3 linked regions of the Styela clava genome follow. The protein of the gene in region 3 binds, or shares a complex with, the protein of the main gene of each other region. Links are inferred from orthologs where the notes say so. Each region holds a gene or a part of one and is shown on either strand. Other genes may lie near its edges. The genes, in order: nucleoporin SEH1-like, GATOR2 complex protein WDR59-like and GATOR1 complex protein NPRL3-like.

Region 1 (3,759 bases), on a different chromosome or scaffold from region 3:
TGGCAGGTTGATAAAGTTTGTTGTTGGCCCACCCATTACCCGGTTAGAACGCTAAAATTTCTTCATTGGTATTTGCACAAATATTAGTCATTTCAAAAAAAGTGCGCACACACCAAAACTTCTGCGCACACATACTACAAAAAATTAGAGGGAACATTGATCATAGGTCATAATCTTCTGCGAAATGGCCACCAGTAATACTCAATGAAGTTGGAGTAAACTTACAGTTAATTCACACCAAAGCTGCTAGCACCTGTGAATCTCATGGTACCACAGTTTCCACTTCACAGCCTGAGCATATTATTCACCATGTAGGCCTGTCCTATACATGTGTTTTTTGGTTATATGTCAAGAAAAAAAAACAGAAAATCATGTCACAGTAATATTTTTCAATTACGATATGTCCAAGGCATCATGAATTAGTTGCGAATAGATAGATTAATAGCCCCAGTTGCTATTTCAATGGTCCCCTCTGTTAATTTAATATTTAGGCACTGACGATGATTAAAAAAAATCACTGATATCCTCGCATATAAGCCGAATACAAAGCTCAAAAAAGTTGCGAAACTAAGGGCTTATACGCGCATAACTCTAATCGCACTAAAAATTTGGCTTAATAAAAGCGCATAACTCTAATCGCACTCAAACGAAATGATATTATGCTAACTTAATTCCACTCAAACCATGCTAATTTCCTACCAATAAGGGCGTATGATTTGTAGGGTCGGCTTAAATACGAATTTTTTATAAAAATTCACCGCTGCTGAAAACGTCAATACCGATATGCCAACATTCCATAATAGACGACAATGCTGAAGGGCCTTTTTACGGGGTCGGCTTATATGTGAAATCGGCTCATATATGAGGATAAACGATAATTCTCAATCTTTGTAAGCCACCACTTTACCCTAAGCAATGTCTAGCAATCACCCCAAATTTGTGACAATTTCACTATGTATTGCCCTAGCAGCCTATGCTTGACTGAGATGAGCAATACTACATTACCAATCTAAATTAGTTCAATATGCAATCACAAATTTCACTTTATTTCTATATGTACAATTTTTTTGAATATAGCAAATACATAACCATGCCTCAAAATTATATAAATTATAAGACAAGATTATTGGGAACAAAGCATATGCAAACACTCAGAATTGCAAGTTTCGAATTGAATGAAATTAGAAAAAATATTTAAAACTTGCAAACATGCAGAATTTTATTAAAAAAGTTGTCCACCTCGAACATTTCCACCAGCATACCTGATAGTTTGTTGAGAATTGGACAGTCCTTTATCATTGGAGCTATTTTGTCTTGAAACATTGCTTTGTGTTGTTTTATTATCTTGCAAATTTTTCAATGTTCCAACTTTTCTCCAATTATCTAAATAATTAGCTTTCCAGAGATGAACTTTTCCATCATCTCCAGACGATGACAACACCGTACCAAGAACATTCCAACTAACTCTCCATACTTTGCTATTGTGAGCATCAAATTTAGCGACTTCACTCACAGAATAGCTAGACGATTCAGTTCCAGATGTTTTAGAATCACTCAAAAGCTTCATAACAAAAATATGAACACACTTTGACGCTACGGCAAGCGTGTGTCTCATCGCACCGTAATTCGGAGCAAATTCAATATCATTAACAGGATCCGTTATTGTCATTATTGTGTGAACTTTGACCCAATCACGATTGATTTCACTGTATTCATATATTAAAACCTTGCCGCCCACGGATGGGTTATTATCATCACTACCCACTGCAATCATTGAAGGATGTTTGTAAAAACTTGAGGGGTTCCAGGACAAACAACTGCAACCTAATTTCAATTTGATTTGATGCTGAACAGACCATTGAGCCAGATTCATAACATCAGGTGCTTCGTAAACACGTACAATTCCATCAGCAGAGCAAGTAGCCAGTTGTAGACCGAGATGTTTTGGAGCAAATTTTACATCAGTTACAGATGTTCGACTATCCACAAGAGACGATTTACGTATCCATGATCTATTATTTTTCAATGTTGTCGTATCAGTAACAATCTCTTCCCATACAGCAGCAGTTCTGTCAAAGGAACATGTTGCAAGCACTTGCCCAAATTCAGGGTGAGCCCAACATACTTTCCAGACTGAACCATTGTGAGTTTTCCAGCTGGAACTGCAGTACCAATCACCATCATCATCTAAATCCCATACTTTGACAGTTTGATCACTGGAACAAGTCGCCATACGCTTTCCATAATGATCGAAAGCAAGGTCATGAATAAGATCCTTATGTTCGGCATTGATCTTAATGGCACTAAATTCAGCTAGTGATTCTGTATCATCCATTTTAGCTATAAAATTACTACAAGTTGAGATATGTAAAATATAAATTTTGAGTAAATTGATTGTGCTTTCATGATTGTTCTGATTAAAATTTAATTTAATTAAAATTAAATTTAAAATTTGGGCAAATTTTGAGTAAATTGATTGTGCTTTCATGATTGTTCTGATTTAAACAGCCTCCTTGTAGCTCTTGGTACTGGCCACTTGGTATTCATTAAGAGATGGGTACCCGCGATGCATGCATGTCTTTAGTTAGTGGTTCAAATGTTTTGCATCATACTCTCATTAATTCAATTTTTTTGGTTGTGTTTTATTGAGACGTTATTTCAAAAAAATAAAAAAGGAAGTGATGCAATAATAATAGTAAACGGCAATGGTGTTAGCTTGTGATCAGTTTAAATGGAAATTATAAAAACAAAAAATTTCTGAAGTTTAGAACTCATAAATATTTTACAGCACTATCCGGCTTGTAGAATTGAATAATAGAGTCAAATAGAATTCTTTTTACACAACAAAAATCAATAGGTCTACTTCAGTGGTTCTCAACCTTTTACTGACCGCGTACCACTTCACTGTTTTTCACTATGGCCGCGTACCACCGACAAAGCTTCTTTTTTGGCGTGAGGAAAAAGACACAAGAAACGTGTTATTTAGTAGTAACGGTAGTATTTTATAATGTGGCACTACATCCTTTGTGGCGTGACACACAAAACGGACAAAAACATGCCCATATCGCTTCATTTAAGATGGGCAATAGCGGGCGATCTCTAGAGACAATGACTGATAGCGCACCAGCGCTATGTGGATGTTTCTCCGACCCTTGACTCCGGAAAATTTACCACTATACTTTACAATTGTAAACTTCATGCTTATTCTGAGAGTGCTTAGATGTGTTGGCGCATATAAAATGGTTTACGTGTTTGGAGTCATCATTTTTATTAAAATTAATCAACCATGTGCCGTTTGCAGGTACTGATATAGCTAGGGCTGCCATAACGTCCTTATTTCTAAGATTTGTCCTTATTTTGAAGGCCTTTGTCTTAGAAAAGAATTTTTTCCTTATTTCTAAGAAACGTCCTTATTTCGACATGTGACCTTATTTTACGGGTAGACGTTCTAATATCGGGCATTTAGATTGGTCAAATCGAATGATTGATTTGCTAGAAATGATATTTTACAACATCATTGATTGCTACGTGAATCCATAAGTAAGAACTGAAAAATAATTGACACAGTGACAAAACAAAAGCCTACCGACCAAAATCACTGCGTGTAACCTGAATTAAAATACAACTTGAAAGTGAGATGGAACAGATTTTTTCTAAGAATAAAGAACTGCTGGAGCAAATCCTTTGCAAAGTATGTTTAGACACGCACTAGCATGAATACATTTTGTTTATTACAGTTCGTTCTTTGTTATTGTATTA
Region 2 (3,759 bases), on a different chromosome or scaffold from region 3:
GAATGAAAAATTTATGTCAATAATATACAAATGTGGTAATGTAATATACAGGGTGATCAAAAAAACAGAACCCATAAATTTTCATTACTTTTACAAAATTATTTAACGCTTAAAACTTCTGTTTGTATATTATTGTACCCCTTTGCACAAAAGTTATGTTTTCTCAAGATATGTTCGATGACCTGGGTTATGCTTATTTCTGGTAACCCTGTATCAGAGATTAGCGAACGAAAGTTACGAAATCTGACCTACGGCTGAAGGTGTCATTTTGGGTCGTTTTGTATCTCTGATATCCCATACATAAATATAAGTATCGATGGAACAGGTTGCAAGTAAATTATCATCACAAGGACACCAATCAACATCACTAATAACACGAGTGTGTCCGCGTAACGTTGCAAGCAAAGATCCAGCACCTTCATCCCATGTCCATAGATCAGCCCATTGACTGTACTGCAATAAAAGAGTTTAAATTTTATGAATTACTTTTTGCAGTTTTTGGTTGAAATAACAAAAAATGGAATATCAGGGTCAGCCACTCAGCCTCCATTGTTCTCTAATCTTAGGCGTTGTTTGAATCTTTGAAGCATTGCGTAGATTCAATTATTTGCAACTCCTTAATCCATAAAGTTTAAAGAAAAGAAAGATCTTTGAGCATAGGGATGGACAATTGAGAATACCGAATCTGGATCGAATCAGCCCATTGACTGTATTACAATAAAAAAGTTCCCATGGATAGAGAGTTTCTGGAATAGAAAAAAATAACCAATTTGAGTCAGCTACCATTGTTTTCCATTCTTGGATTTTTTTTGAATGTTTCTAGCTGTGCATGATTCTGATATTTATTTCAAACCCCTACATCATCAAAATACAAAGAAAAGCGCTTCAAACAATTATCAAACAAGTAGCACTCTTTTTTCGGAGAGAATCAGCAATTACTGCATTGACATCCTATTGCTTGAACATTAAAGTATTATCATTTTTTGAGAATCCTTCACTTATCACCACAAATTAAAATTTATAATCTTGGTACAACTTGAATTCTCAAGAACTGGTATATTTACAAAGGTACATATTTTCACTTTGGCACACTCAAGAGCTATGAAAAGGTTTATTCAGTAACAGATGCTAGTAGGTACCAGATGACAATATACTAGTAACTCAAGTCAATACTGCCAGGAAAACAATATGAAGTTTATCAAAAAGTATCTGATGATGCAAAGCGGAGACCAAAATTAATTTACAAGTAACAGACAATGAAAGTGGCAAAAGCTTACTCTGGACAAGATTTTAAAAACGATTTGCTATGAAACAAACTTACAGTAGCGACAAAATGTTGTTTCTTCGTGAAGCATGGATTCCATTGAACATGAGAAATATCCCATTTACTTTGTCGATTAAGACGACGAGCAACTTCTTGTGGATTGTTTAGATCAATGAGTATAATGTTACGTCGAGTCCCTAGTACTGAGTACCTTCCGTCAAAATCCACGGCCATGGCATTTGCCTGAAAATGATACATTTAAAGAGTGATTGGTATAGTTTTTATGGCGCTCCAGAATTGTGTGTACCAATATGGACGTAACTAATTTTGTTCTTCTACTTTACATCAAGTTGTGTAAAAGGACTGAAAACTATGAGCAACTATTGGAATAAAATTATGGCCTAACCCTAAGCTCGAACACAGACTACGGGGGTACCGTTTTTATTTTGTCAGTATAGCTTACAATTACTACTTTTTCTATTTTAGTTGAGGGCTCATTATACTGACCTGAAGAAATACCCAACCACATTTTTAAAATGTTCTCAAAATATGCTTTTAGTTACATATTGGTAATGATAACATTGTTTATTCCATGAAGAATAAATTCCTTATTCACTACACAAGATAGGATTTACATATTTATCCTGTGGGAGAGGGAAGCCAATAGGATAGCCTAATCATATGGCGAACCATATGGTTAAGCCCTCGTCTGGTTACCAGTCCATGTCGGGTATGGGATTAGTAAGCCTGCCATTGATTTGACATTACCGTGATTTCTTGTAAGTATTCAAATGTGGTTACCTGAATATTTGGATGTTGTGCTGTTTTGACATCCATTATGAGCTGTGTTTAATTCTGAAATATATGCTGGAAATGATTTAAAATTTACTCCTTCAGCTTGTAAGCACCAATATTTAACCTATAGTTATATTGCCTACATTTCTTATAAAGATGAAAAAATGGCAGTCAGGTCAGATTTGTATTTGAGGTAATATTGAATACAAAACTACACAATACATGACAATAACATCAAGCTTTTAGCATCATTAAGCCGATATGAAACAAGAGACACAGAGACATGGAGAAGACAGCAGGACAAAAAAATATATATTACTAAGAATTGTCATTTTGTGTCAAACATCAAAAGCACTTTTGCCATCCATCTATAAAATGATTCATCTAGGAGAGTAAGAATCATGATGAACGATTTTAAAACCAACAAATTAATTAAACTACAAAGCATTACTATATGTAGCCTACCTATGAGTCAAAACAGTAGGCAGAGTTTAAATGGTAATCTTAATAATAATATTAGGAAATGTTTTTTAAAACATCTAATTAATATCACGATGTTAGATCTTTTTATCCTTTCATCCAATTTGTTACAAATTTTAGCATGTATCAAATATTTACGAATTCATATTCCATACGTTTTTCAGCAATTCATATATTTGAAACTGAACAAAAATGATTCAATGTGAAAAGAATAATTGTAAAATATCCTTATATAACATCCCTAAAGGCAGATGCAATGTATCTGAGAACCCTACTTAGATAAATCAATTGTAAAATAAGGACAAAAACATATCAATAGACAACAAAAAGTTGATTAAGAAAAAGAAATATCACAATAAAGGAGAAATTCTCATATTTATTCCATGGAGGGAAGGATGACCTAATCACACAACAAACTGCAGCCTATTGTCCAGTTGCCAGTCCAAATGAAGCATGGGAATAATTTCCTTAGATAACATTAATATGCTGACAATTGAACGAGAATAATCACATAAGCTACCAGAGAATCTATACAGTTTATTTTTTAGTCGACAGAGTAGCAAATTTTTCACTGAGAGCCTTCATAACATCCGAATGCTTCGGAGTCATTCCTCCTACTGAGTTGGCCCGCTGTACTGTTTTATAATTCTCCTTAACAAACATCGCAAACTTATTCGGCTGTCTTGTTTTTGCTGGTGTGCCATCAGATTTTGTCGGTGGCAGCAAGACAAGTTTACCACGGCATATGCCACAAGCTTGTTTATCCACTTTGATCGATTTTGAATGTCGGCCGTAAATTTTACGACAAGTTGTGCACTGGTAGTGGAACTTGTATGTGATGTCATAGCTGTGACATCGTTTTACCACTGGCATTTCAGGGTGTGCGGATGTAGCTTTGCGAGCCCATGCTTTCCAATAAGGACCATGGCCGTCATTCTGATTGTCGAGCAACCATACAGCGGCATGGCACATTTCATGGCATAAAGTATCTCGCAATCGATGTAGCGTGTCTAAAACCTTTTCTGAAAGTGATATCATTGCTTTGTACGTTTTACTGACACATCGAATACCGTTTTCAACTGAGGTTACAGTTCTTGATGAACATTTCGTAACACCAGCTGTTTTGGTAAGTCGTTTATCCCATTCCACGATCATATCTTTTGGTAAACGATCCATGAAAATAGTTTTATTGAAAAAATCGTAAAGAATTTTAGTGACTA
Region 3 (3,759 bases):
TTTTTGTTCATATGCATTATTTACTTGTCCTACAAACATGTTCCTCTCGCTATGTTTAAAACAATTGATAAACCATTTTAAATTGCACAGATATTGAAAATGTAGCTATAAGGTTCAAGTTATGGAGTCTAATTTGCTAGAATCACTGCCTAGGCATGATGTTCTGTATCATAATGTATTCAAGTATTTATCTATGATCGATTTATTCCGGCTACGTGCAGTATGTCGACAACTTCACAATATGATGGAGGAATATTTTTCTCAATGCCATCACATCCATATCAAAGACTCTGATGGTATAGCGGATGCTACCACATTTGAAATATTAACAAAAAGCAATTCATCACTCCGGACCATTGTTATCCCCAATATCGGAGATTGGATAGACGACAACCTTCTTGTTCCAGTTATAAATGACTGCCCCAATTTATCGATCCTTAATTTATCACAATGTAAGGGTTTAACAAATAGAAGTCTATGCATATTAGGAATGTACTGTGAAAATCTTACTCATTTACGTCTGAAGGGTTGTACATGGGTTGACCACGACAATTTTATGGTGTTCATTTCCAACAACAGAAAACTGAAACTACTGGATTTACAGAAATGTTCTTTGCTAGATGATGAATGTGTGGAGTTCATGTCCAAATGCTGCCCAAACTTGGAATATTTGAACATATCAGAAATTAACCAATTGACTGACCAAAGCCTTGACGCCATTGCAAAAAATTGCCGCAAGTTAAAGCATTTGGATATCATAGAGTGCTGGAAAATGACAGATTCTGGTGTAAAGATAATAAAGGAATATTGTCAAGAATTGGAGACACTTAATTGCGAACACTGTACTAGCATTTCCGAGGATACACTCGAGCCACTTCGTGTCAGAGGAGTTAGCGTAGACATTCAAGGACGCTTGGAAATAACTCTACGAAGACTGGAACATGTGATTGACTATCTTTCTCCTTTAGTTAGACAACTAAACCACAACCTGTAATTTTATATGGAGCAATATATATTAGTATTTATAAAGTACCATGGACCTGCATTTTTTTTACTATTCAAATAACAGAAAGTCGCAAATGACCACCAGCTACATAGAAAAGAGTATTCACTATTTCAATAACAAGCAGCGAAGCAGGTGTCTCTAGAGTTAATGGAAACGAAATGTAAGTTTTAGAGCTGGTTAATCATATTTTGAAAACTATATATTTCGATTAATGGCAAATTGATCATAAAATTGGGTACTAATTCAAATTCTTGCTGTTGATGTAGTTTCGCCAATAAACCAGTTTTCTCAAAATGTAAATTGTAATTGCATGCATAAAGTGAAGACAATCTATATCAAACCCATACAAAACGCAGCAGTAGTTGAATCTTCCCTTGAAGTTGTTAATAAAACAGGTGAAAATTTATCCAACAAAGCCAGCAACTGAGTTCTTGATAAATTTTCATTATACATTATTTCTTCCATGTGACAGTTTCCATCAAAATATTTCAACAAATTTACAAATAATCTCAAATCTTTAGCGCTATTGGATGCATGGACATCCATAATTGCTTTCCTTTGCTTCCAGGGCAATCCTGCAATAATTGAACGAGTCTCTGTATTTTGAATCGGAGGCTTCTGCTCGCTCATAGTAGACTGTTGGTCAGCCTCAACAGGGCAGAAATATATAAAAGTGTGCATTTGTATTAAAAACCGATGTTGCAAGAGCCAAAACACAACTTGAGCTAGCTTATCTTCTTCACCATAAAATAGTCCGTGTGGAGTTTGGAAATCACTAAGACGAACTGGTAGTGAGAAATTTGACAACACATCCACCATATCATGGTTGAACCTCATGTAAAAAGATCTCGCTGCTTCTGAATTTGGATTTAGTTCTGCTGATGGCGCAATAACATAGATATTTGAATCGCATAACGGATATATAATACACGCTTTACCCCAATATACCAATTGTGACGTTAAAGTATAAATTTGAGTTAGCGGCAAATCTGCATCAGATGCAGTACATTGGAGCGATTTTGTTGGTTCGTAAACTGTTAATAATCTTGTAAGAGATGGAGTATAATCATCTGGTAAAGTCGACCATATTTCCTTTTTGTCAAATATGAGAATGCCATGATATGGCCTTATTTTTTCTATAGCTTTTTCAATGAAAGAAACAGATATTGTATTTTGTCCATACGAAGCCATATTATGAACTTTGTGAGGCAAACAAAAACTAATATGTGTTGAATTGTTTACTTTAACAGACAGGATACCTGTTTGACAAATACTATTGAATATGATGTGAAGCTGGTCGGCCAGGTGGGATTTTTCTAATATAGTTTTATAGGCGTGTTCAGGCTCTGCCATACACTCAGATTCTAAGGACATCTCGTCATGCACTGACAGCATAAGCCTTGTTTCGTGGGTCAAGTAATCGGAACATTTTTCTTCAAATCGCAAGGCAAGACCAAGTTGTAGTGCCAACTCTTGGTACTTTTCAACTATGGTGTACTCCGCTACCGCTTTTAATACAAACACAATGTTGAATGACAAAAGTGTAGAATCTTCCTTTTTCTTACAACCTTCATGCTCTTTGATGTTTTGCCTATATTTTTCCAAAATATCAAACTTTGATAATACACTGCTGAATTGGTCAATAACCAAAGGGAAACCTACAAAACGGATTCCATTCGTCTTTAGGTCAAACTTTTTTCCACAAATCTTGGTGTTTCCAGGACTGAGTATAGTTGCTAGTAGTTCATCACTGAAAGAATCCAACTGCTCTGCTTCATTTCTTGGTGCCTTTTTTACATCGTCCGAATCATCAGACACTGACCCATGTTGCCTGTTTAGATGAAAAGTTGATGATGTCAGTTGTTTGTAGGAAGACAATGGCTGAGTATCACTTTGAGATTTATTGTATGGATATCTGAACAACAGCTTACTGGTTATTCTACTGCCATACATTGATAACATGATACTTAATGGTATCCATGGTTGATCACTTCCACTCATAACTGAAAACACTGAAAAAAATAATTACAGTATTGAGAACCCACTGAATCAAGTTTTTTTCTAAACAATATTGAGTAAAAACCCGAATTTCTCAGTAGAAAGCCCAGTCATAAAAGTACAAACACCTCTGACCAAAAAGTAAAGTAATGAAAAAAACTGCACCCTTTATTTACAAAATGCAGTTTGAATACAACTTTCATTATTAAACAGAGAAGTAATTTATTGTGACTTTGTTGTATGTCATGATAGGTGCATTTGCTTAAAAAATAATCCACAATGTCAAGTTACCATACGGCATATAACACAATTTATAAATTAGTACTAATGTCAAGCTGCTATAATTTTCAAAACGTTCAAGAGGTTTTCTGCACAGATAATGAAGTAGTTTAGCTTCGAAGAAATTTATTTTTTGAACTTTTTGGTTGAGATCACAAATCTTTCGTCAAAAGCTCTTGCAGCTATTTACAAATGGCATGTCACTCGAGTTGAGGAATGTGATCCATGTCATTTCTCTATGCCTGATAATCACAATATATGAAGAATCATGTTATGAGTCACAGCAAACTAGGGACATGCATAAATTCCACTTTGTATTTGGGTATATATTGATAACGAAATTAAAAAAGAACCATTTATGAATTTGAGCAACGAGATAGGCTTTTCCTCTGATCACAAAGTAACAACCCTGTCTGAATTGTCTTTGTCTGTTAAAAAGTTACTGAGTAATTGAGGCAACTCTGGTGCCTTGTAAA

What was found.
Region 1: GATOR1 complex protein NPRL3-like (region 3) and nucleoporin SEH1-like share a complex: the UniProt entries of both Drosophila melanogaster proteins name them as parts of the GATOR complex. The link is inferred for Styela clava from reciprocal best matches to the Drosophila melanogaster genes Nprl3 and Nup44A.
Region 2: GATOR1 complex protein NPRL3-like (region 3) and GATOR2 complex protein WDR59-like share a complex: the UniProt entries of both Drosophila melanogaster proteins name them as parts of the GATOR complex. The link is inferred for Styela clava from reciprocal best matches to the Drosophila melanogaster genes Nprl3 and Wdr59.

The regions. Positions count from the first base shown.
Region 1 is NC_135251.1:17,064,602-17,068,360, reverse strand, and holds the start of nucleoporin SEH1-like, read right to left. Parts: upstream 2,367-3,759; 5' UTR 2,336-2,366; coding exon 1,263-2,335; intron 1-1,262. UniProt on the Drosophila melanogaster protein: Probable component of the nuclear pore complex (NPC). Involved in maintaining the localization of another nucleoporin Mgtor to the nuclear envelope of early meiotic female germline cells.
Region 2 is NC_135262.1:4,861,179-4,864,937, forward strand, and holds the start of GATOR2 complex protein WDR59-like, read right to left. Parts: upstream 2,807-3,759; 5' UTR 2,102-2,806; coding exon 2,066-2,101; intron 1,508-2,065; coding exon 1,322-1,507; intron 454-1,321; coding exon 249-453; intron 1-248. Other genes in the region: uncharacterized protein LOC120332162, read right to left, coding at 3,077-3,759. UniProt on the Drosophila melanogaster protein: A component of the GATOR complex, which functions as a regulator of the amino acid-sensing branch of the mTORC1 signaling pathway.
Region 3 is NC_135253.1:12,145,748-12,149,506, forward strand, and holds GATOR1 complex protein NPRL3-like, read right to left. Parts: upstream 3,010-3,759; 5' UTR 3,008-3,009; coding exon 1,337-3,007; 3' UTR 995-1,336; downstream 1-994. Other genes in the region: uncharacterized protein LOC120325627, read left to right, coding at 122-994; lysophosphatidylserine lipase ABHD12-like, read right to left, coding at 3,677-3,759. UniProt on the Drosophila melanogaster protein: An essential component of the GATOR subcomplex GATOR1 which functions as an inhibitor of the amino acid-sensing branch of the TORC1 signaling pathway.